Diceros bicornis minor: one gene and its partners. The protein of the gene in region 1 interacts with the protein of each later gene in a biochemical or structural test. Links are inferred from orthologs where the notes say so. Each region holds a gene or a part of one and is shown in the gene's direction. Other genes may lie near its edges.

Region 1 (7,165 bases):
GGAGATCTGACCAGCATGGTCACTTCCATCATTCTCAACATTGTTCCTCTTCTTGCAGCCTAAGCCGGCATAAGCGTTTTTGATGGCATCACATCCTTTCCTTTTAGTGATTGCCTTGGCACAGGCAGCACACTGCTGCTCTGCCAGAGTAAGAACAAAAGATGCAGTAGAGTCTGGCAGGACCTGGGTACCTTTACAGAGGATAGGCTGGGGACTTGGACCAGGGAGAGTACAAATTCAGAAATGTGGAACTATAAGGGTGGCTTGGGTAGAAGGATGGTTGGGAAGGGAAGATTTAGAACTGAGAGAGAATATTCTTTGTGATCAAATCTCTGACATCTCAATAGAAGAATGGGAGATTTGAGCCTTTTCCTGTGGTCCTCTGACTCCTAAGCCTTTTAAGCTATTTGAAAGAAAAGTGAACTTGGGGCTGGAAAGTGTATATATAAATTTTTTTTAATGAGGCAGTTGAAAAAGTAATCAGATCCTATATTGGATCCTATTCAATGGCAGCTGCTACCTGCATAAAGTAAGAAAGACTTCAAGGAAACAGAAGTTGTTTGGAAAAATCCAGTGTCATTGCTTTGTATGTTGTAGTGATGTGGTAGCCAGCCTCCAAGATGGCCCCTAATGATTCTTACCTCCTGGTATTCATACTCTTGAGGCTGACCTAAGTAACCAATAATATTGTGAAAACGATAGAGTGTTACTTCTGAGATTAGTTCATGAAAGATGTTGTGGCTGCTGCCTCACCCTCCCGAATCACTTGCTTTGGAGGAAGTCAGCCACCACGTCATGAAGACACTGAAGCAGTCCTACAGAAAGATCTTCATGGTGAGAAACTGAGGCCTCCTGCTAAAGGCAGCATCAACTTACTAGCCATGTGAGTAAGGCATGTTGGAAGAGCCTCCCTTAATCTCAGGTAAGAATTCAGATGACTGCAGCCCTGGTAGACATCTTGACTGCAATCTCTTGAGACCCCAAGCCAGAACCATACAGTCAAGGTCCTCCTGAATTCCTGACCTGCAGAAACTGTGAGATAATGTTTATTGTTGTTGAAGTTACTAAGCTACTAAGTTTTAAGCTACTAAGCTTTGAGGAATTTGTTATGCAGCTATAGATAACTAATACAAATGGATAGATAGGAGGAATGAGGAGTAAAGGCCTCTGTAGGGGCACCAGCCAGCGTGCCCCTTTAAAACCATGAGTCCTTGAGGCTCCTTGGCTGGGCTACGTGGCAGCACTCACGATGATAACAGTCCTGGGCTTGGCCAACCCAGCTGTTTTCTTGTGGGATAATTAGCACAGAGACCCTTGCGGTCTGAGGGAACACAAAGGCCCTCCAGAGGGGAGTTCTGGTCCTTGGAAGGCAGGTCATACAGGGATGATCCCCCTTGGCAAGCATGCAGCCTTTGTTCCTCTGCCTACTTAAGCAAGCTTCTCTCAGTGGGCAGTTGCCGGTGCACATCTCCTGTCCAGCCAGCCGCCACTGGACGTTCCCTGTAAGTAACTCCCTAATAAACCCATATGTCTTGCCCGCTGTCTCTGGGTCATTTCTTTGGTCTCTTGGCAAGATACCCTGCCACCTTAGCCCAGCTGGGTGTGCGGTCCTACAGCCCCTCATACTAGGCCTGCACTTGTCATGGCCCCTAAGGGTGGAGAAAGTGCTAGCTTCTTTTCTGCTTTTTGACACTGCTGACAACTGCATAGGGATAGAGGATGACAAGAAGGAAGGGCATCATGCCCTCTTGTCTCCTCTTTCTCCTCCCTCTTCTCTTTGTTTTTAGGGGAGGACTAGGATGACACTGAGAATTCACACAAATTTTTTTTTGACTTTTCAGTAGCTCTTGGGAAAGGCTGCGCTAGCCTTTATCCATTTGGTAGTAGGCTGTGGGTCCTTGAGAGCTGGGCTTGGATATTATTCATTTCTATCCCCATTGCCTAGCAAGTGAACGTATATGAACAACGAATGATACTAAGAGGGAGGGCGAAATCCCTCTCTCCTTCTCCTCAATTCTGAAGAGACTCCATTCTTAGAATGGTTCCTTAAGTGGAACCATTCCATTCACAGTTCATCAACGAAGTCTTGATAATAATAGCATGCGTGCCATCAGCCATTTTCACTATTAAAAACTCCCTTACTTCACTATTTTAAAAATCCCTCTATTTAAGCTCCTTGCTTTTAGGAGACTTCTCTCACTTTTACATCCCATTTCTTCTATGAAATGTTGCTTTAACTGTTGCTCAAGCTCCAAAGATGCTTAATCCACGACAGTATAGAGATCTGCTGCCAATACACCAACACACCATTGTATGGAAAGAGCCCTGGCCTGGAGCTAGGAGACCTAATTCTGGGTTGCTGTCACTGATTAGCCTATATGTCCTTGGGCAAGTTGCTTCTCCTCTCTGGACCTCGGTTTCTTTATCTTAAATGGAGAGAGTGGGTCTAGATGAGCCCTAAAGTCGTCGGGTTCTCACAAGAAGTTAAGATTCCAAGGTGCAATCCAGAAGTGAAACCCAGTGGTCAGAGGCATACGTCTGAGTAACTGTTATGGTTACAGTACAAGGTTCTCCGGACTTCCCTTTACTAGCCCAAGGATACGGCCTCCGTGAAAGGCTGTCAAGTTTACTGGGAAGAGTCTTCCGGTTTTGAAAGACACGATCTCCGTGTTTCCAGTTTTGTCACTAACTCTGGATGACCTTGGGCAAATTTTTCTCTCTCAACCGCAGAGCAGAGAGATCTTTGTTATCCAGAAGAGGCTCAAAGACCTGGGCAGTGACTTGAAGAGCTTTCCGTGATTCTCCTACAATCCGAGTGGCTCAGCCCCGGAGCAGGGTCCTGGCCGGCCAGTAGTCCCGCTCCAAGGTGCAATCAAAACTCAGACCAGCTCTTTGAGCGAGGGGCGGCTCGGCTTCGGAGGCGGCGGCTACAGGTGAGTTCTTAAGGGGCCGCCAGAGCTTGGGTAATACGTGGAGACTGGTGACTGGGCAGCGGACGTAGGCAAGGGGGAGTGAATGAATGAGTGAATGAAAGAAGGAACGAATTTTCTCTTCATACCCTTAAATGCATTCATTCATACTTGTGATGAATTCATCACTTAGACTTAAAAATCCCTTAGTAAAATCCTCAAACTCTTATCAAATTAACCAATCTCCCTATTTTACGTGCCCTTCTTTAATTCACCCCCCCCAAAAAAAAAACTTTTACTGAGGGGCGAATAGTAACTTGAAAAAAATCAGTGCAGAGTGGAAGACTGTGTGCAGAGATGGCACCCCCCACCCCCCGCCCAAACTCCTCCCTTTCCCCGTCCCAGGCTCTGCCCTCCCCGCCCCCTAACGTGGGGGGCGCAGTCCTCCCCAAAACCACTTTTCTAGGTTGGAGATCTACCCCCGGGAGCGCCAGGTACTCTCTCCTGCCTTTGAGTTGGAAACAGCATGTGTCTAGTGAGGTTAAAGGGAGTCCTGAAATGTGTCTTGGATCTGGTGTAAGTGAGGTCACGTCTCTCTTCAGACACCCCGACCCTTCTGGGTCTGGGGCGCTACTCGCTCAGAACCGCGGGGCACACCGGTGGACTACGGTTAGGTAAAGGCAGGCTCTTCCAGGCCACCCCGGGCCACCTGTAGAGTCTGTGTGTCAACTCCTTTGTCCTCAGAGCCACTTCGGTGGCCGTCCTTTTAAGCGAGGAGGTTCACTTGGGATGCTCCCCAGGTCCCCTTCCCCGTTCCCCAGCCCCCTCCCGGCCCTCCTCCCCCTTCCAATCCAAAGGTAGCAGCGCTGAGAGCCCGAGGCTCGGCGCGAGCCGCCTCCTCACTTCCCATTGGCTGGGAGCGCCGGGAAGGCGGTCACGTGGGGGCGCGGCAGTCCAGCTCGGGGGCCGCCATCTTGGCGGAAAGTTTGGGGGGAGAGCGGTTGGGGGCGCGGAAGGAGGCGAGGTTCCGGGGGTGGGGCGGCTAGAGGGAGAGAGGGCAAGCGGGCTAGCGGGCCGTGGTGAGCGAGGAGGCGGTGGCGGCGGCAGCGGCGGCGGCGGAGGAAGAGGCAGCGGGGGTGCGGCCGCCGAGGGGAGCTCCTCCCCCGTTCCCTCACCCCCCTGAGCTTAGCTCCTCGAGCCCCGGGCGGGGCGGGGGGACGTGGAGCGGGGGCAGGGCGGGGGAGCCGCCCGAGTCCGGCCGGAGCGCACCCCAGCTCTGAGCGCACGCCGCTCGCAGGAACTTTGTGGCGGCGCCGCAGGTGTGGGGGCCCGCGGAGGTGTGCATGTGGGGCGCGAGGGCGTCGCGGAGAGCGGCCGCTGCCCTGTCCGGCCCCCGCTGGAGTAACCCGGAGGAAGCGAGCCAGGAGAAAGGCAAGCGAGGGGAGAGGGCCCGAGCAGGGCGGGGTGATCAACCCAGCTGGTCCCTTCCCGGAGCGCTCTACAACCGCTGCTGGCTTAGGGGCAAGGGTCGGAGCGCCTTTTCACCCCCCCAGTAGCAGGTGGGAAGTAGGCATACTTATACCGGGGGAGGGGTGGCCCCAGGTCTAGGCATTTAGTGCCCTTTAGAGAGGGGGCAGCTTTCGAGGAGGATTTGGAAGCCGACTTCTCTCTGCTTTTAATTTGCAGGGCTACCCACCCCTGGGTAACAGCTTTCTAGATTGATTGACACTGCTAGGTTTTGAGGCTCCTCCTCTCACTTGGGAAAACTTTGCCAGGTGGGCTTTTCCAATAGGGCTGAGAGTTTTTCGGTTTGAGATTTAGGGGGAAATGCTAGTTTAACCACAATTCTTTTCTTTAGTTCTGTTTGCTTTCTGTTTTATGTTTTTAAAGGTGTGTGCCCTCTTCCTGATTCTGGAGAAAAATGCCGGTCCGGAAGCAAGGTGAGAATTTATTTTGGAACTTTCTTGTGAGTGTCACTTGCTTTTCTGTGTGTCTGTTTTGTGATTGCTGTGTTTTAAAAATGTGTAACTCTGATGAGACAGCACAGTCCTAACGTTAGTAATCTAAGCCTCACATCATTCAGAAGATGGAAACACTTAATGTTTGTCAAACTTTCTTCCTTGACATCTCTGTAGTGATTGGAGAGGCAATTAATGTTTTCCCTCTGAAGTGTCTTTTTGAAAACTCTTAATTGGTTTTTTAATATTTCACTTTATCATTTTTACTAAACACTATTTTGTGAGCAAATGTGGGATATTGGCTAAGAGCTAGTATTTTGAAACACTTGAGATTTGGATTATAATGACATTGTGGATAATCTGCTTTTGCATATCAGATCAGCTGAAACTATGTTGCTAATACTTTGATCAAATGATCTTTTATTGTGGTAGACTAGCCATACACATTTATTACAAACTACTCACCTTCCTCTTCTTTCTACTGTGACATATGTTTAAAATTTTTTGGATAATTCTAGGGAATATACCTGTACATGAACATAGTAATATCGATTGACCTGGAGGATTTTGAGAACTGTTGAGACGTCTTGCAGAATCATTTGCTTCATAGCTAGTGTGTAATACTTTCTTGTAAATATATAATTTTTATCAGACTCCTTTTTTCTTCTCAGATACCCAGAGAGCATTGCACCTTTTGGAAGAATATCGTTCGAAACTAAGCCAAACTGAAGACAGACAGCTCAGAAGTTCCATAGAACGGGTTATTAACATATTTCAGAGCAACCTCTTTCAGGCTTTAATAGGTGAGACTTATTACTTTATTTGTGACCATTATGTGTCAGCTGGGCTTAATGCTGCTCTGAATTCATTTATTTTACTCATAAGAGAGTGATGTACTTGGTTCTCTGTGAGTCATTCAGTAACTTGAATATGCAGTGAGTTGTATATTTTGATAGTTAGGCCAATATCCTTTCCAAAAAGATCTAATAACCAAAAAAACTTTCAGTATGATTATTTCAGTGGTCTTTGCTAACAGTGTTTCATATCCTAACATTAACTATTAAAAGATGGAGAAGTTGCAAAAATGTTTCAGGACTCAAAAGGTAACTACTGTGAATACTTGCTTCTGTATTTGACTTGTATTTCTGTGGAGTACCTGAGAATGCTTGAAGAGTTTTGCTGTGTTTAAAAACATTCATTCCTGTAGTATAGATGTCTGTTTGAACTTGGTATTCATGGAGTCAGAATTTTAGACCTGAAAAATGATCTTAGAGATAATCTTGTCTAATCTTATTTTACAGACAATAAAATTGAAACAGAATTTTATTAATTGTAATTTAAATATGAGGTGGTGCATTGTTTTGAAGGAGAACTGGACAAATAGTCAAGAGTCTTGAATTCTATTCTTGACATTGCCGTTAATTGAATGATATTACACAAGTCATTTAACCTTTTTTTTTTTTTTTTTGTGAAGAAGATCGGCCCTGAGCTGACATTGGCCAATCCTCCTCTTTTTCCTGAGGAAGACTGGCCCTGGGCTAACATCCATGCCAATCTTCCTCTACTTTATATGGGACACTGCCACAGCATGGCTAGCCAAGCGGTGCGTCCGTACGCACCCGGGATCTGAACCAGCGAACCCCGGGCCACCGCAGTGGAGTGCGCACACTTAACCGCTTGCACCACCAGGCTGGCCCTGTCATTTAACCTTTTTAAGGTCACAATATTAGCTGTAGAATGTGGGTGCAGTGGAACAGTGGTTTTTAAGCTTTTTTTTTTGAGTGGCTAGATCCTTTCTTAAAACAAAATCTTATATTTTGTACCCAATCCTCGGTATATAAAACAAGGTGATCTGTCTCTGGCCCTCTCCTCTAGTACCTTGAAAAGTATGCAAACCACTGAAATAGAAAATTTGTCCCTTCCAATTCTAAGAATATAATGTTTTTTTATTAGTCATTGACTATATAACATATTAACACAAGACATACACTTCATTGCATTACATTTATTTTCTCAGTAACTTCCAAGTATATCGATATGACCTCACATCTGTCTGTTGTTAGAGTAACTTTTGATGTGATTTGAGGACTACCTTCAAGTTTGTGTACCCTGTCAACTTATAGGTAAATTGATATTCTCTGCTGAATTTGTTTTAGAATTAAAGATTTTAAAGAAGACCACTGAATACACCTGAATATTTTTTACAAATTTAACATTTTAATAGACTTTTAAAACCATACATAAAAATGGAGAGAACAATATAATGAACTGCTGTACACCTATGACCCATCTTCAAAA
Region 2 (7,169 bases), on another chromosome or scaffold:
GTGCTTGGCATAGGGCTGGTACTCCAGAGTGTTCATTTCCTGAGAATGGCCACAGAGAAGGATGTTGGGTTCAGCTGCGCCCCACGGCTGAGCTGTGTGACCTCTGGCAAGTCACTTCACCTCCCCTGTTGTCCCATCCGATAACAATGGGATGCATAAGGGCCCTGCAGGCTGGCATTGGCTGAGTGCTCCCTGAGCGAGGCCTTCTGCCCCTCCTTCCCGCTGTCCAGGGGGCTGAGTGCAGGGCCCCGGCTCTCAGGAACGGCTGCTGCTGCTGCTGTCTGGGGCTGGAGGGCCCAGGTGAGGCGCACCTGCGGCCGCCACTGTGTCTCCCATGAGTGGCGAGGGTGTGTGCTGGGAAACTTGCCCTCAGAGCCTGCCAGGGTTGCTGGAATCCACTGAGGCTGCTGCCATTTTATCAGCTCTTCTTTCGCAAAAGGAGTTGTGGGCAAGGAGGCACCGTTTAGTGTCATAAAATCAGAGGGAAAACCTAAGAGGTGACAGGAGCAAGGTGGTCTTCCTACCTCCTCTGGACCCCTGGCAGGCAGGGTCCAGCCTTCCTTAACTCCTCAGGAAGGGGCAGGATAGCGACGGTGCCAGCGAGTTGTCAACCCTGCGAGTCACCTTCACAATCTCCCTGAGGCCCGAGCGTCCTTTGCCAGCTGCTGACTCACCGAGCCACAGCCCTGCTCTCAGCCTCAGTTTCCCTAGCTGTCCAGTGAAGTTTGGACAAGGGGCTGCAGATTTTGGATGTACACAGCATCCAGTAAAATTAAAAGAAAAGTTTGGTAACTGGCCCAGCATTGTGAATTCTTCACTTTGCCAAGAAAGGACACTCAAATTTTAAAAAGCAGCCAGCATCTCCCATCTTGTCATTCCCCAAAAGAAAGAACATTTTCCATGAAGAGAGTCCCCAGATGCCCTCATAGAACAAAGGACAGAGGCTGGCTCGGTGGCTTAGCGGTTAAGTGCACGCGCTCCGCTACTGGCAGCCCAGGTTCGGATCCCAGGCGCGCACTGACGCACCGCTTCTCCGGCCATGCTGAGGCCACGTCCCGCATACAGCAACTAGAAGGATGTGCAACTATGACACACAACTATCTACTGGGGCTTTGGGGGAAAAAAAAAAGGAGGAGCATTGGCAATAGATGTTAGCTCAGAGCCAGTCTTCCTCAGCAAAAAAGAGGAGGATTAGCATGGATGTTAGCTCAGGGCTGATCTTCCTCATAAAAAAAAAAAAAAAGAACAAAGGACAGAGACTGGAGGAAGAACCCCGGACGGGAAGGGGAAGGACTTGGCCGAGGTCACCCAGCAAGGCAGAGCGAGGGGCCCGGCCTCCCAGAGCCTCCCCCGTAGGGAATGTGCTGAAACCACGTTCTTCCCTGTGTGTTCACAGGGCGCATTCGGTGCAAGAGGGTTAGACCAGCCCCCTGCCTTCCATAAAAGGGTGGTTTAACTGTAGACATGGCGCAGGCGCCTAAACAACCAGGGTTCACTCTCTCTCTCTTAATAAAACAACCACATCCAGAGGAGGATGGTACCCAGTTGTCAGTGCCTCTCGCCCCTCTTCCATCTCCGTGCCCCTTCTCTTTTGCGCTTTTCCCTCGGGCCCTTGTGCCTTGGGCAGGAAGCCCCAAGTGACAAATAAGGGAAGACACCCTGACCAGTCTCCCAGTGGTTGTCACAGGAAAGCACAACGCCATGCTTCCTACGTTTCACTTTTTGGTCTGGGATCGTGCAGGTGGCAGGCGAGCCTCTCACTTCCGCCAAAGGAGCCCGTGGTGACGGGAGTGCTCCCTGATGTGAGCAGGTCACTGCGGACGAGGGCCGGGCGCTCACCAGCCCAGTGCACATGGGCTCCTCGTGGTGGAGGATGGCAGTCTAGGGGCGCACCTGTGCCTGGGGGCTGCTTTCCCAACGGCCCAGGGGTGGACATTTCAAGTGTCACCTGAGCTGACACAGGCGAAGCTGGATAAGACACAGGATAAGCTGTGCCGCCACCGGGCTACGATGCGGGGGCTGCTGGGGGTCGGGGGACCCGGGGATGGCAGGGCAGGGGCAGGGGGTGAGAACTGAAGTTGGGGGTGTGGGGGCGGAGGGGGTGTGGGGGCGGAGGGAGTGTCGGGGTGGGGACATGCGGAGCCTCCGGGCCGACCCTGGGGCATGAGCGTGGCTGAGATTCCAGTCACTTCCACTCATGAATGGGAAACACTGGGCCATGCTGGCGAGGGGAGGACCAAGAGCTTAGAGCCGTGGGGGGTGGTCTCCCTCCCTCCTCGCACCCAGGGCCCTGCTAGAGGGTGGAGCCCCATGAAGAGCCCTCTCCTGCAGCACAAGATGAAGCCCCCAGACCAGAGCCCTTCCCTGTGGCAGAGGACCAGGGGCCCCGCACCCTGGGCTCCTGTGTGGCCTTGGGCGGGGCCCTCACCCTCCCTGGGCCTCAGTGTCCTCACCCATCAAAGCCCCAGGTCACCACACCTTGTCCCCCCTGCCTGTCTCCCGGACACCTGTGGCAGGTGGGCCCAGGGCCTCCCGGGGCCGGGCTGGGGCCCTCTCTTCCCTAGCCCCAAACTCCACCCCAGCCCCCTCCAGGGAGGCAGCTCCTCTGCCCAGGAGCACCTTGACCTTCTTCCAGGAGTGGGAGTGAGGAGACGGGCTCAGGGCTGGCCCACCCTGTCTCGCTCTGGGACCCTTAGCAAGTCCGTCCCAGCTCTGGGCTTCCTCGGCCTCAGATGTAAAATGAGGGTCTTGAAATCAGTGATCTTCCGTTCCTCCTGGCTCTAGTTCCTTCTGTGGTGCTAATGGAGGCATTCAAGACAGCAGGACAGAGTCGAGTCGGAGATGTGTGGCGAAGGAAGACCCCCTGAAAACTATTTATAGTCTAGAAGGTGCACCTGGCCCCCAGTCCCCTAGGGCTGCCACCTGGAGCCCTGGCTATCAGGACTCTGGGTAGGGGGCAGACAGGGTCTGGGACTCCCAGCTAAAGTTGTAACCTCTTGGGGGCCAGTATGCACATCCACATTACCTGTTCAGACTGATGGGTCTCACTGGTCCCATTTTCCAGATGAGGAAACTGAGGTTCAGAGCAGTCAAGTAACTTGCCCAAGTTATGTGGTGGATCTGGGACTTCAATTCAGGACTGTGGGACCCAGGGAGCTCCTTTTGAGGGGGGAAGGGAGAAGAACCCAGAGTCGGGGTGGGGTGACTGTGGGGGAGGAGGGCAGGGCTCACTCTCCCTGGGCGCAGAGAGGGAGTTTCTCCCTGGCAGAGGCAGGCTCTGAAGCTGTTGATCTCTAAATTACAGCGTTGGCGCGCACTGGTTGCCGGGGCAACCGAGTTGTCCTGAACCGGGGAAGTGTATAAACATTGCCACAGATGCACAATTAGATCAGGAAGAAGAATAGGACAGAAAATAGAAACTTCCAGCCTTATATAATTCTGGGCCAAAATGTTACCGGGAACCCAGGCCCGGGCCTGGCCCTGCCAGCTGCTGGGGCCCTGGGCAGCACCATCTCTCTCCTGGGGCCCCAGTGGGAAAGAGGGTGGAGGGAGGGTCTGCCTTCCAAGGGCCCAGCTGCTGCGCCTGCCACCCGGCGGGGTGAGGGGCTGCCTCCACTGGAACAGCTGGGGACGCTGACAGGCGAATCCTGCCTCTCACCAGCTTCTCCCCCCACCCCCCCACACCCGGGAAGCGGCAAGGAAGGCAGGAGGGCGACTGGCTTAAACTGAGCACCCGCTCTCTCCCTGGGTCTTGTGGTGGAGTTTTGATTCTTACTTTACAGATGAGGAAACTGAGGCTCAGAGAGGTGAAGTGAGTCGTCCGAGGTGACACAGCTAGGCAGCAGATGTGTCTGCCTCCCCCTCTTCGGGTCTGCACACCGTGAGCTCATCGATGTTGCCACCACCCAGGGCCTGAAGAGCTAGACACACCTGGGTTTGGACCCACTTACCAGCTGTGTGGGCTTGGGTAGGTCACTTCCTCTCTCTGAGCCCCTGTTCCCTCACCTGTGACATGGGAACACCGATACCTACACAGGAGCCAAAGCTCGGGGCTCCCTCTTCCTCCACTGGGACCACCACCAGTGGAGTCTCCACCCACCACTCCTCCCAACAAGTTTGGGGACAGGACAGGAACCAAGAAGGGGCTGTGGGCCCCAGCACTGTCCAGTCGAACTTTCTGCCCTGAGGGAAATGTCTGCTCTGTCTAGTATGGTAGCCATTAGCCACATGTGGCCACTGAGCACGTGAAATGTGGCTAGTGCAACTGGGAACCGAAGTCAGAATTTTATTTAATTCTAAGTACATGTAAGAGCCACAGGTGGCCAGTGGCTGCTGTACTGGACAGCACAGGAGAATGTCCAGCCCCCGAGGGACCCAAGAGGGCAGAGGCTGAACCCAAGGAGGTGAGGGGGCCAGAGCTCCCTCTGCTCCAGGCAAAGGGGACAAATGGTGGGAGGGCAGAGCCCAGATGGGCATCAGGAAGCTCCGGGAACAGGGGCGAAGGAGGGTTGAGGGGGCGGAGTGAGGGGCTGGGACTGGGACCTGGATCCTGGTGGCCTCAGCTTCTGGAGCCGGGCCAGCCTCGGAGGCACTGGCTCAGGCCCGACACTCCCTCCCTGTCGTCAGAACCACCTAACTGTCCCCTTCTGCCCACCGGGCGGTGCAAGTCTTGGGTTCTAGTCCCGACTCTCCCCTTCCTGGGCGTCTCTGGACAGGCGCCTTGCCGCCCCCGAGCCTGGGCGCCCCGGGGCCCTCGGAGAGGCCGCCGCTGCAGCCGCTCGCCGCCAGCATCTCACCCGTCTGGTTTCTCCTCCCCAGGCCCCGCGTCTTCCCAGGTGAGCACGCCGGCTTCAGGACATGCACGCGCACAGCCGCAACGGGCAGGCGCACGTGCCTCGGCGGAAGCGCCGCAACCGCTTCGTCAAGAAGAACGGCCAATGCAACGTGTACTTCGCCAACCTGAGCAACAAGTCGCAGCGCTACATGGCGGACATCTTCACCACCTGCGTGGACACGCGCTGGCGCTACATGCTCATGATCTTCTCCGCGGCCTTCCTCGTCTCCTGGCTCTTTTTCGGCCTGCTCTTCTGGTGCATCGCCTTCTTCCACGGTGACCTGGAGGCCGGCCCAGCGGTGGCTGCGGCGGGGGCGCCTGCGGGCAGCGGCGGGGCGGCTCCGGTGGCCCCCAAACCCTGCATCATGCACGTGAACGGCTTCCTGGGCGCCTTCCTGTTCTCGGTGGAGACGCAGACGACCATCGGCTACGGGTTCCGGTGCGTGACGGAGGAGTGCCCGCTGGCGGTCATCGCCGTGGTGGTCCAGTCCATCGTGGGCTGCGTCATCGACTCCTTCATGATCGGCACCATCATGGCCAAGATGGCTCGCCCCAAGAAGCGGGCGCAGACGCTGCTGTTCAGCCACCACGCGGTCATCTCGGTGCGCGACGGCAAGCTCTGCCTGATGTGGCGCGTGGGCAACCTGCGCAAGAGCCACATCGTGGAGGCCCACGTGCGGGCCCAGCTCATCAAGCCCTACATGACCCAGGAGGGCGAGTATCTGCCGCTGGACCAGCGGGACCTCAACGTGGGCTACGACATCGGCCTGGACCGAATCTTCCTGGTGTCGCCCATCATCATCGTCCATGAGATTGATGAGGACAGCCCGCTCTACGGCATGGGCAAGGAGGAGCTGGAGTCGGAGGACTTTGAGATCGTGGTCATCCTCGAGGGCATGGTGGAGGCCACCGCCATGACCACCCAGGCCCGCAGCTCCTACCTGGCCAGCGAGATCCTGTGGGGCCACCGCTTCGAGCCCGTGGTCTTCGAGGAGAAGAGCCACTACAAGGTGGACTACTCGCGCTTCCATAAGACCTACGAGGTGGCCGGCACGCCCTGCTGCTCCGCCCGGGAGCTGCAGGAGAGCAAGATCACCGTCCTGCCCGCCCCGCCGCCCCCGCCCAGTGCCTTCTGCTACGAGAACGAGCTGGCTCTCATGAGCCAAGAGGAAGAGGAGATGGAGGAGGAGGCAGCGGCCGCTGCCGCGGTGGCCGCGGGCCTGGGCCTGGAGGCGGGCTCCAAGGAGGAGGCGGGCATCATCCGGATGCTGGAGTTTGGCAGCCACCTGGATCTGGAGCGCATGCAGGCCACCCTCCCGCTGGACAACATCTCCTACCGCAGGGAGTCCGCCATCTGACCTCCAGGCCCTGCCCTCGCTGCTTCCCACAAGAGCCTCTGCTGGGGGTGGGACACCAGGACACCCCCTCCGCACTCAGGACAGAGCTGACCCTGGTTCCATGGACCTTCTGGAGGGACGTGGGGGCCTCAAAGACTGGGACTTCAAAGTCCCTTCCTCCTGACTCCGGAGCCTAGGCCTGGGAAGGGCCCGGATACTCTCCGCCCTGTCAGCCCGGGTCCCCCAGCACCTACCCACTGGCAGCTTAGGGACCCCAGACCCACCACCCTTTCCCCACTGACCCTTCAAGGACGTGCCCCTTTTGCTCTCAGAACCTTGGGGAAGGCGGCTGGACTGCTGGGGGGGTGGGCATCATGGTGTTCTGGGGTGGGCAGGGGGTTAGTTTGGGGGAGGGAGGGAGGGGGGTGCGCTTCTTTTGCATGACTGTGGCCTGTTGCTCATGACTTTCTTTTGTAAATATCTATAAATGGAGAGAGATGGAGGCACCAAATCCACCTTCTGCCATTGGTACCTGCAGGACGAGGCGGTGTGGTCCCTCTCTGTGCCCCCTCCCCCTCCCGGCCAGGCAAGCCTAGCCCTTCCCCCTGCCCCACTGGCTGCTCCCTGAGGCCCTCAAAGCCAGCCGTCTTGGCCCCTGGATGGTGTTGGGCTTGAGTGCAGAGGTGGGACCCCGAGGGGCAGGATGAGGGCCAGTCCCTCCCTGCGGTCCCTCCGGGCCCCCGGGCCCAGCCCAGATTGACAATGGAGTTTGTAACTATATATTTTTAATAAAGTATATGGTCCATTAGGAGTAGGCTGGTTGAAGATGGAGGGCTGGGAAGAAGAGCTAGAGAGAGTGAGAGACACCAACAGGATGTGAGTGGTGTGTGTGTGTGTGTGCGCACCTCTTTCTGAGCTACTAACCCTTGGAGAGAACTTTATCACCTGCCATTCTTTTTCTTGGGAGCCAATGGGAAGGATCCTGAGTGGGCATCAGA
Region 3 (7,966 bases), on another chromosome or scaffold:
CATCTATTTTGGGAGTTTTGTGGTATTTTCTGGTTCCAGGCTTCTAGTTAGTGACAAAATGGCACTGCCAAGATGACTTACCACATGCGTGGGGTAGAGAAGAGCACCGTGGTGGGCGCTACTTCTAAAATTTACTTTTGGCTTTGCCCTGGACTAAGTTGACACACATACAGAAAATACCCCTTTTCCTCCAAAGCCTCACTGAGTTAGCATCTATCCTACTTTGCTTACTCATATTCTTCCCAGTGGAAACTGATCTCCCTGTACTAGGTTTTCCTGTTGCGTTTTATTTGCGCCTCTGTGGTAGCACTCATCCCAGGCCATCTCTCTTTGTAGCCTCTTGCATTTCTATCTTCCCCCTCCATTAACCCAGAGCTTTCTGAGAGCACAGGCCATGTTTTTCTTATCTTTGCATAATCCAATGGGACCTAGCACAATAACTTACATTGGAAGTGCTCCATCTATGTTGTTGAATTAAAATAAAAATGTTTTAGGGAAACAATTTAGAATGATGACTTTAACATAAGATACCTCAACTATTTGCAGAAATGACATGTCATAGATCAACAACATAATTGACTACATCTTCACATTAAATGCTGAAAAAAATTTCTGATATTACCAAGAAAAAATCCCCATGCATTATGAAAGCCAGTGTGTGGTTTTGGTTAAATTGCATAGTCTAAATTCTGTGGAATCCAAATGTTTGAAATGAGGAAGGATATTGCTTTTGGTCTCAGCACTGGAAAAAAGGTGAAAGCCTTCTACAATATTCATGAGTAGCGTGCTTAGCTTAGCATAGGTATGTCAATAAATCATTGCCATAGCTCTGTGACAATTGAAGGTCTTGGTGTGTGTGTGTGCATGTGCACATACAGACCTTTTTATAAGGAAATATTTAAGAACTTCCTGACTGTAAAGAAAAATACAATGAATGTCATAAAGCACCTAGGTGTCATGATAAGTGTGTTTGGAGAAGGCAAAAGTATTTTGTTTTCTAAATATTTAAACATGGCCAACATATCAGTTGGGAGGTTTAAATGCTATGGGAAGGACTCTAGAGTAATATAGTGGATAATTCTCTCTAACCTAGAAAGGAGAATTGGAACCTGAAGGATGACATCATTAAGGTAATATTTGAGGAAGATGCATTGGGCAACAGTATCCTGAATAACTGAGGCAGGGTTGCTCCTGGAATCTTGGGAAGGAGGAAGCGGTAATAATAATCCAGATGCAAGGTGACAGAGGCAGAGTGATAGGAAGTGGTAGAAATGTAGAGGAAGGATTGGCTATAAAAGACATTTTAAAGGAAAAATCCCTATGACTTTGTGAATGTGATAGATAATTCTGAAATATTGAGTCTCAGTGACTTGAATGACTTAACACCAGAGAGAGAGAAGTGGGGAGGGGCAGCTGGACCATAGGGAAATATAAAAGTTTACTTTTGGACATCTTGAGTTCAATAATACAGTGAGACACCCAGATGGAAATTCTCTGGCTCAATCTCTGTCATTTTAGGACATTGTTGTTCTCCAACGGATGCACTGAGGATATCAGATCTGGAGACAGCACAGAGAAATTTAACACAAGTGAAGAACGAGCTAAATTTGAAAATGTTGAGGTCACAGCACAGCCACAGCTGAGACATGCCGCGGTGTTCTGGTTGGATATTTGATCTCGCATCATGTTGACTGCCTGCCAGGCTAGATGCCTTCATACATCGACTGTGTTCTGGCTTAGACTTCTGCTTCTACTCATCTGCAAGTATTTAGCTTGTAGTCAGGCATTAGGACATGTCGGCTTTATGATTTAAAAATGTAGAAAAATATTCTTATTTTACAGTGGCCCAACATATTGAAGCCTCCAAATTTGTGGAGTAGATATAGAAATCAAAGAGTTATATTCTGACTGTAATGCCAATATCTCTGATCTAATCCTCTTGGTAAAGTTTAACTCATCCTTTGAGAACTAACTCAAAAGTTACTGACTCTAAGCAGCCTGCCTGACTCCCCCAGGCAGTTTGTCTTTTCATTGTCCATGTTCTCATAAGACTTTGTTCTTATTTCTACTAGAGCACATAGAATAGTCTACGTGTCTGTCTCTTGCCACTAGACTGGGAGCATCTTGAAGATGGGAACCATTTATTCCGTTTTGTATTTCCCACTCCCCTAACAGAGCAGCAGTTAGTGATATTTCGTTGTTGGAAATAGCCAAAAGAGAAGTTTTAAGAATAGGGATGGAGCAATGTGCAGCAGCCATAGCGAAGCCTGTATACACATCATATGTCACATCCCTGCTGATGCCATTAATGCTGCGCCAGCAGAGGCAGTGCTCTCATTACATGCTGCTGGCCCATATTTGTAATGTGTGACATTTTTTATGAAATACTGTCAAGGGTAATACATCATATAGTAACCTTTGGATTATGTGCTGAGACTGGTCTTAAACATAGACACAAATAAACTTCAAGAATAATGCTATTTTCTAAGAAGGGTCTGATCAAAGAGCTCTGGCTGGGAAAATGAGGCAGAACATTACATTCTGTTAAGTTAAACACAAGTGCCTGAAAAAGAAGTTTCCTTCTGTCTCCTCCAGTTGGGGTTGGGGTTATTGTGTGAAGATAATCAGGTGACTCTGAAATGTGGAGGAATATTTATTTCTTGTAGTATGTCAGTGTTTGAAAAGGGAGTGAGGGCTTGCTAAAGGTTTGACCACCCTTGGGACTCGAGAGGTTTGTAATCATTTTATCTCAAGAGGCATTTTTTAAAATAAAAGGACACATGACAACTTGAGTAAATTTCAGATGTCAACTGTGGGCTCACCATTAAAGGTATTCTCTCTGTGTATTCAGAAAGATCTAGGATTTTACACATATTATAGAGTATAAATAAAGGAAAGCTTCTAAGTCTCATCATTTTTGTGTGAATCCACATAAGACTCCTTTGATGAGCTTAGTGTTTCCTGTTAAGGAAAAGCTTACAGGTGAGAGGAACAGTAAAATTACAATTCTTTGTCTTCCTTAATTAGACTGGAGCTCACCATAGATCTTCCTCAAGCTGTGAGAAAATCCAAGCAATAATTCACATTGTCAGGTCAGCAGAAATGCGCACGGTGGTCTGATAGGACTGAAAGATTTGCTTAAGTGATCTATCTGTGAACTGAACAGTGCAGAAGAGATACACAGCCTTCATCGGAAATATACCCTCTGATGATGCTGAGCACAAACAGCAATGAAAATAAATCCCAGCAAGATTCTTATACCACCTTTACAGATGTCATTCTAGAGGAAATATATAAATCACATTAATGCCAATTGATGCGGGGCACTAATTAATAAGTCCCATTAAATCTTGGAGTAATGACATTTAGCATCTAATGAATGCCTCATAATCTCTTGATCATTAATATTTCATGGCATAGGAACACAAGCATTGGCATCCCTGGGCTCATGTAGCATGGTTTTCTGTCTCTGACATGGCCCCAAGGGCATTAAGTGGCACAAGGGTATTACACCTCTGTTGTAAGACTCTACAACATAAGCAATTAACTCATTCAGTACCTTGGGTCCTAACATTTCCTCATTTTAGAAAATGTGAATCTGCCTGCCATTCTCAGAATTAACATCAGTGAGTGCTGAGTGCCCTGGAAGAACAGAAGGAGCTGAGATGTTGACTTTGTCGTGGAGCATTGCTTTGTTGTTGACTCTCCCAGCCCACGCAGGAAACTTGCACAGGAGAGATCATTACTTTGATGTATTACTGGGGTTTTCTTTATTCAAAGGCAATAATCACCATACAGAGCAGGTGCCATTGCAAGGGTTTATTGATCCTCTGCTCTTCTAGAAATTCCAGGAGGTCGTTACTCTGGCGGGAGATGGAAGTGGTCGACAAGTCCATCCCCGAGCAGGCTGAAGTGAAATAGGAGAAAATCTCTGGCCGTCGGTGTATCTGTCCAGTGACACTCGGTGTCTTTTCTTTCAGAAGAGTTGGAGCAGAGAGAACGCTTAGAGAGGTTGCAATGGGCAAGAGAGACGGAAGGAGAGCGACGACAGAGAGAGCTGCCAAGGGGTCTAAGAGGCTGAATGCTTCCGGCGGGGCGAGAAAGGGTCTATAGCTCCAGATCAAGATTCCAAAGAGTTAAATATTACCACGCAGCCCGACCTGGATGGGATTTGCTTCTGGGTACAAAACGGGACACTGATCAAAATCAACTTGGACAAGTGACAAGACTGAGTCTGATGTTGGTGGATGTCTTTTAAGGTCGTTGGAGGGGAGAGGACGGGAGGCGGTGTGCTCAGGGGTAGGTGGAGAGAAGCATCGAATCCAGGGATATAAAGGGATGCGGAGCCGGGAAACAGAGGACAAAATGAGTGGGGGAAGAGAGAGAGGAAGACTTGAAGAAAAGTAAGGCGAAAGTAGGGACAGGGTTAAGGAGAGAGGAGGATAAGAGAGAACTGAGGGCGGCGAGGAGGGATTAACAAGGGAAGGGGGATCGCTGGAGAGAAGGGCGGACGGTTGGATCAGGAGGTGGGGAGGAGGCGAGGGGAGTGAGCGGGTGGGGGCGCAGACAGCGAGGCGAGGGGGCTGGAGCAGAGGAGGGCAAGAAAGTGCGGGCGGCGCGGGGGCGGGCGAGGAGCCTGGGGGCCGGGGAGGGGGCGCTGGGCGTTGGGAAGAGAGCTGGGGAAGGGAGAGAGGGAGCGAGCCGGGCCGGGAGCCGAGAGCCGGGAGGCCGCGGGAGGGAGGTGGGGGGCAGGAGGGGGAGCGCGGGAGGGAGCGCGGCGGAGGGCCGAGGCCAAGTGCATTGTGTCTGGCGGCGGCGCGCGAGCCCACCGGCGGCTGCGGCGGGGCGGGAAGCCATGGAGCCGCGGGCGCTCGTCACGGCGCTCAGCCTCGGCCTCAGCCTCTGCTCCCTGGGGCTGCTCGTCACGGCCATCTTCACCGACCACTGGTACGAGACCGACCCCCGGCGCCACAAGGAGAGCTGCGAGCGCAGCCGCACCGGCGCCGACCCCCCGGACCAGAAGAACCGCCTGATGCCGCTGTCGCACCTGCCGCTGCGGGACTCGCCCCCCCTGGGGCGCCGGCTGCTCCCGGGCGGCCCCGGGCGCACCGACCCCGAGTCCTGGCGCTCGCTGCTGGGGCTCGGCGGGCTGGACGCCGAGTGCGGCCGCCCGCTCTTCGCCACCTACTCGGGCCTCTGGAGGAAGTGCTACTTCCTGGGCATCGACCGGGACATCGACACCCTCATCCTGAAAGGTGAGCGGCGGGCGCGCCCTGCGTCCTGGGCGCCCGCGCGGGGAGCGCAGCCCGCGGCTCCCCAGGGGCGCGCCGGTCCCCGCGGCCACCTCCCCGCCGCGTCCCCGCGCCCTGCTCCCCTGCACATTCTTTCATCCTTCCCCGCCGCCTCCGTTCCTTATCCCTCTCCCTTTCTTTCTCCCGTTCCTCCCTTCTTCTCTCGCTCTTCTTTCTTTCCATGACTCTCTTCTTTCCTTCTCATCCTGCTCTTCCTTTTCCCCCTTCCCTGAAGTCTGTGCTTTAGCCCCCCGCCTCTATCTCTTCCCTTGCCCGTCTTCTTTTACTCTCCTCTCGTCCTTCGCTGTCTTTGTACACCTGCCAGACTTGAAGGCATGTGTGGGTTTTCTTGATACTGCTCCCCTTGAGGGTAACAGTCAGGAAGACCTCACCTTTCCCAGGCGGGCTCCGTCCCTCAAGTTGTGCTTTCCTTTTAGAAATACCTTTGGAAAAAAAAGTGGTGCAAACCTAAGAAGAGGGGAAAGAGGATTTTTTCTTGTGTTGTGCCGATGTTGGTAGCAGATGGAACTGATGTTGTCATCCCACCCTGGCAGCTAATGGGGAGCTAAGGAAGCTGGAGGAACCTTTCTCCAACCCTCCGAAGCGCAGGGTTCGCATGGATTAGACCTCAGATACCATTAAGTCATTGGTGGAGGCAGCCGAAGGCAGATAGGACATCTACTTTTTTTCGCCCTTCCTGATGAGTGGGCACCCCATCCTCAGTGTCCAGGCACACCAGGGTGTGGAGAGGAGAGAACCTGCGCCAGCCCCTTAAAGTAGAGCTTTCTGGATTTGCACGTGGACCTCTACAAAATCACTCTCTTCTGTTTTGTGATACCTTTAAGGTTGTTTTTGTTGTTTTGTTATTTGACACTGAGTTGTAGAGCGTCAGTTTGCTCTTCTGAAATCTATGCAACACCTGGCTCCCATGCATGTAATCAGATAGTTTGAATTTTTTTTGTAATGTAAAATGTAAAAATATTCAATGTGACCATTCTGTTGGTGAAGCTTCCTTCTAACTTTCAGAGCTCGACGCTTAATATAAATTCTTTTTCTCTGAGATGAAAAAAATAAATCTTCTTTCCCTTGGACTCATTATTGCAAGAAAAAGAAAAAGTCTAAAATCAGTACATTTTAATATTTAATGGCCATTCAGGAAGGCAAATGAACAGACTTGTATTGAATTACAGTTGGGAATGGAATTACATAGAAAGGAGGGAGTTAGTAACATTTTGGCCTTTGGAGTCTTGTTAGTTGGCTTATTCTTCATTTCTCAAACATGTCAACTTCCTCCTTCCCGTGGCTAGCTCAGCTGGGGACTGCCATCTGAAATCTGTCTGTGCCTGGAAGGATGCCAGCGCTTTTGGGGGAATCAGATATAGTAACCGTCCTTTGGGAAGTGCACCTTTTTCTTTCCTCTCCTAACTTGCATCCAAATCTGATTTCTCCTCATGAAGATGCTGCATAATTAATTCTGATAGTGGCATAGTACATGAACAAACTGTAAAAGCTGAATTTGGAGGCTCAGTTATGGAATGCTCATTTTGGCAAGGCAATTTTGAAAGCTAAGCAGTGTAGTCTGTCTTTGGAAATGACAGAGCTGCATTTCCTTACTCCCTTTCTATGTCTAGAGTATTTGATTGCATGTAAATTGGATATAGAGTAGCACCTGAAACACCAGGGCAGAGTCCAACTCAACAGCAGGAGGAGAGGGACCCCACAGGACACTGCATATTCCCCACCTCTGCAAATGCCCAGGCTAGTTGAGGTGCCTAGCTCCGGGGCAGTCCAGGATTGAATAGTTCTAGAGGTGGGAGGGACTTTAGAGGTTATTGAATCCAGCCTCCCACCCATTGTTCCAACTCCCTTCTTCTACAATCTTGCTGACAAATGTCTGTCCAGCCCAGTACTTCCATAACACAGAACTTGTATACTAGTTAAAAGAATTATATTTTTCTAGTCATAAATGCTTGTTTCTTAGATTAGTAATATTGATGGTGTTTAGCTATTCCTTTGTGCAGAATGCTAAAGAGTTCTAGGTTGTAATCAGAAGACATGGGCACCATTGCTGGCTCTACCGCTAAATTGCAGTGTATCCTCTGACAAGTGTCCAGGGCTCCTTGGCCTTCAGTTTTCTTGTCTATGGGATTGGGAAGGCTGACTATTCTTGAGGGAATTTTCTATTTCTGAAATCTGTCATTGTTGTAATAATAACAATGTAAATTTAGCTTCTGGGAAAGTTAATGAGCTGACATTACTAAGACATGAGGAGCTTGGAGAAAATGACAGACATCCATACATTATAAGATCATAATTTGTTGTTTGGGAGATGGCCCAAAATGCCTCCATTACTTTCAACATTGCTACTAACTTACCTTGGACTAGTTACATAACTCTTCTGGATCTCTGTTTCATCATCTGTAAAATGAATGGGTGAAATGAACAGCTTTAGGGGCCGGCCCGGTGGCGCAAGCGGAGTTTGCAGGTTCGGATCCTAGGTGCGCACTGACGCACCACTTGGCAAGCCATACTGTGGCGGTGTCCCATATAAAGTGGAGGAAGATGGCCATGGATGTTATCTCAGGGCCAATCTTCCTCAAGAAAAAAGGGGGAGGATTGGCATCAGATGTTAGATCACAGCTAGTCCTCCTCACAAAAAAAAAAAGAAAATCATA

What was found.
Region 2: the proteins of DLG1 (region 1) and KCNJ4 form a complex in vitro, tested with the Homo sapiens proteins (2 studies listed by BioGRID and IntAct, with this or other methods). The link is inferred for Diceros bicornis minor from reciprocal best matches to the Homo sapiens genes DLG1 and KCNJ4.
Region 3: the proteins of DLG1 (region 1) and TMEM178A interact in a test that uses a peptide from one of them, tested with the Homo sapiens proteins (2 studies listed by IntAct, with this or other methods). The link is inferred for Diceros bicornis minor from reciprocal best matches to the Homo sapiens genes DLG1 and TMEM178A.

Annotation. Positions count from the first base shown.
Region 1 is NC_080754.1:29,485,175-29,492,339, reverse strand, and holds the start of DLG1 (disks large homolog 1), read left to right. Parts: upstream 1-4,150; 5' UTR 4,151-4,340; intron 4,341-4,799; 5' UTR 4,800-4,830; coding exon 4,831-4,849; intron 4,850-5,538; coding exon 5,539-5,670; intron 5,671-7,165. UniProt on the Homo sapiens protein: Essential multidomain scaffolding protein required for normal development. Recruits channels, receptors and signaling molecules to discrete plasma membrane domains in polarized cells.
Region 2 is NC_080764.1:11,499,703-11,506,871, forward strand, and holds KCNJ4 (inward rectifier potassium channel 4), read left to right. Parts: upstream 1-4,825; 5' UTR 4,826-4,857; coding exon 4,858-6,192; 3' UTR 6,193-6,530; downstream 6,531-7,169. UniProt on the Homo sapiens protein: Inward rectifier potassium channels are characterized by a greater tendency to allow potassium to flow into the cell rather than out of it.
Region 3 is NC_080751.1:44,782,607-44,790,572, reverse strand, and holds the start of TMEM178A (transmembrane protein 178A), read left to right. Parts: upstream 1-4,827; 5' UTR 4,828-4,855; coding exon 4,856-5,255; intron 5,256-7,966. UniProt on the Homo sapiens protein: Acts as a negative regulator of osteoclast differentiation in basal and inflammatory conditions by regulating TNFSF11-induced Ca (2+) fluxes, thereby controlling the induction of NFATC1.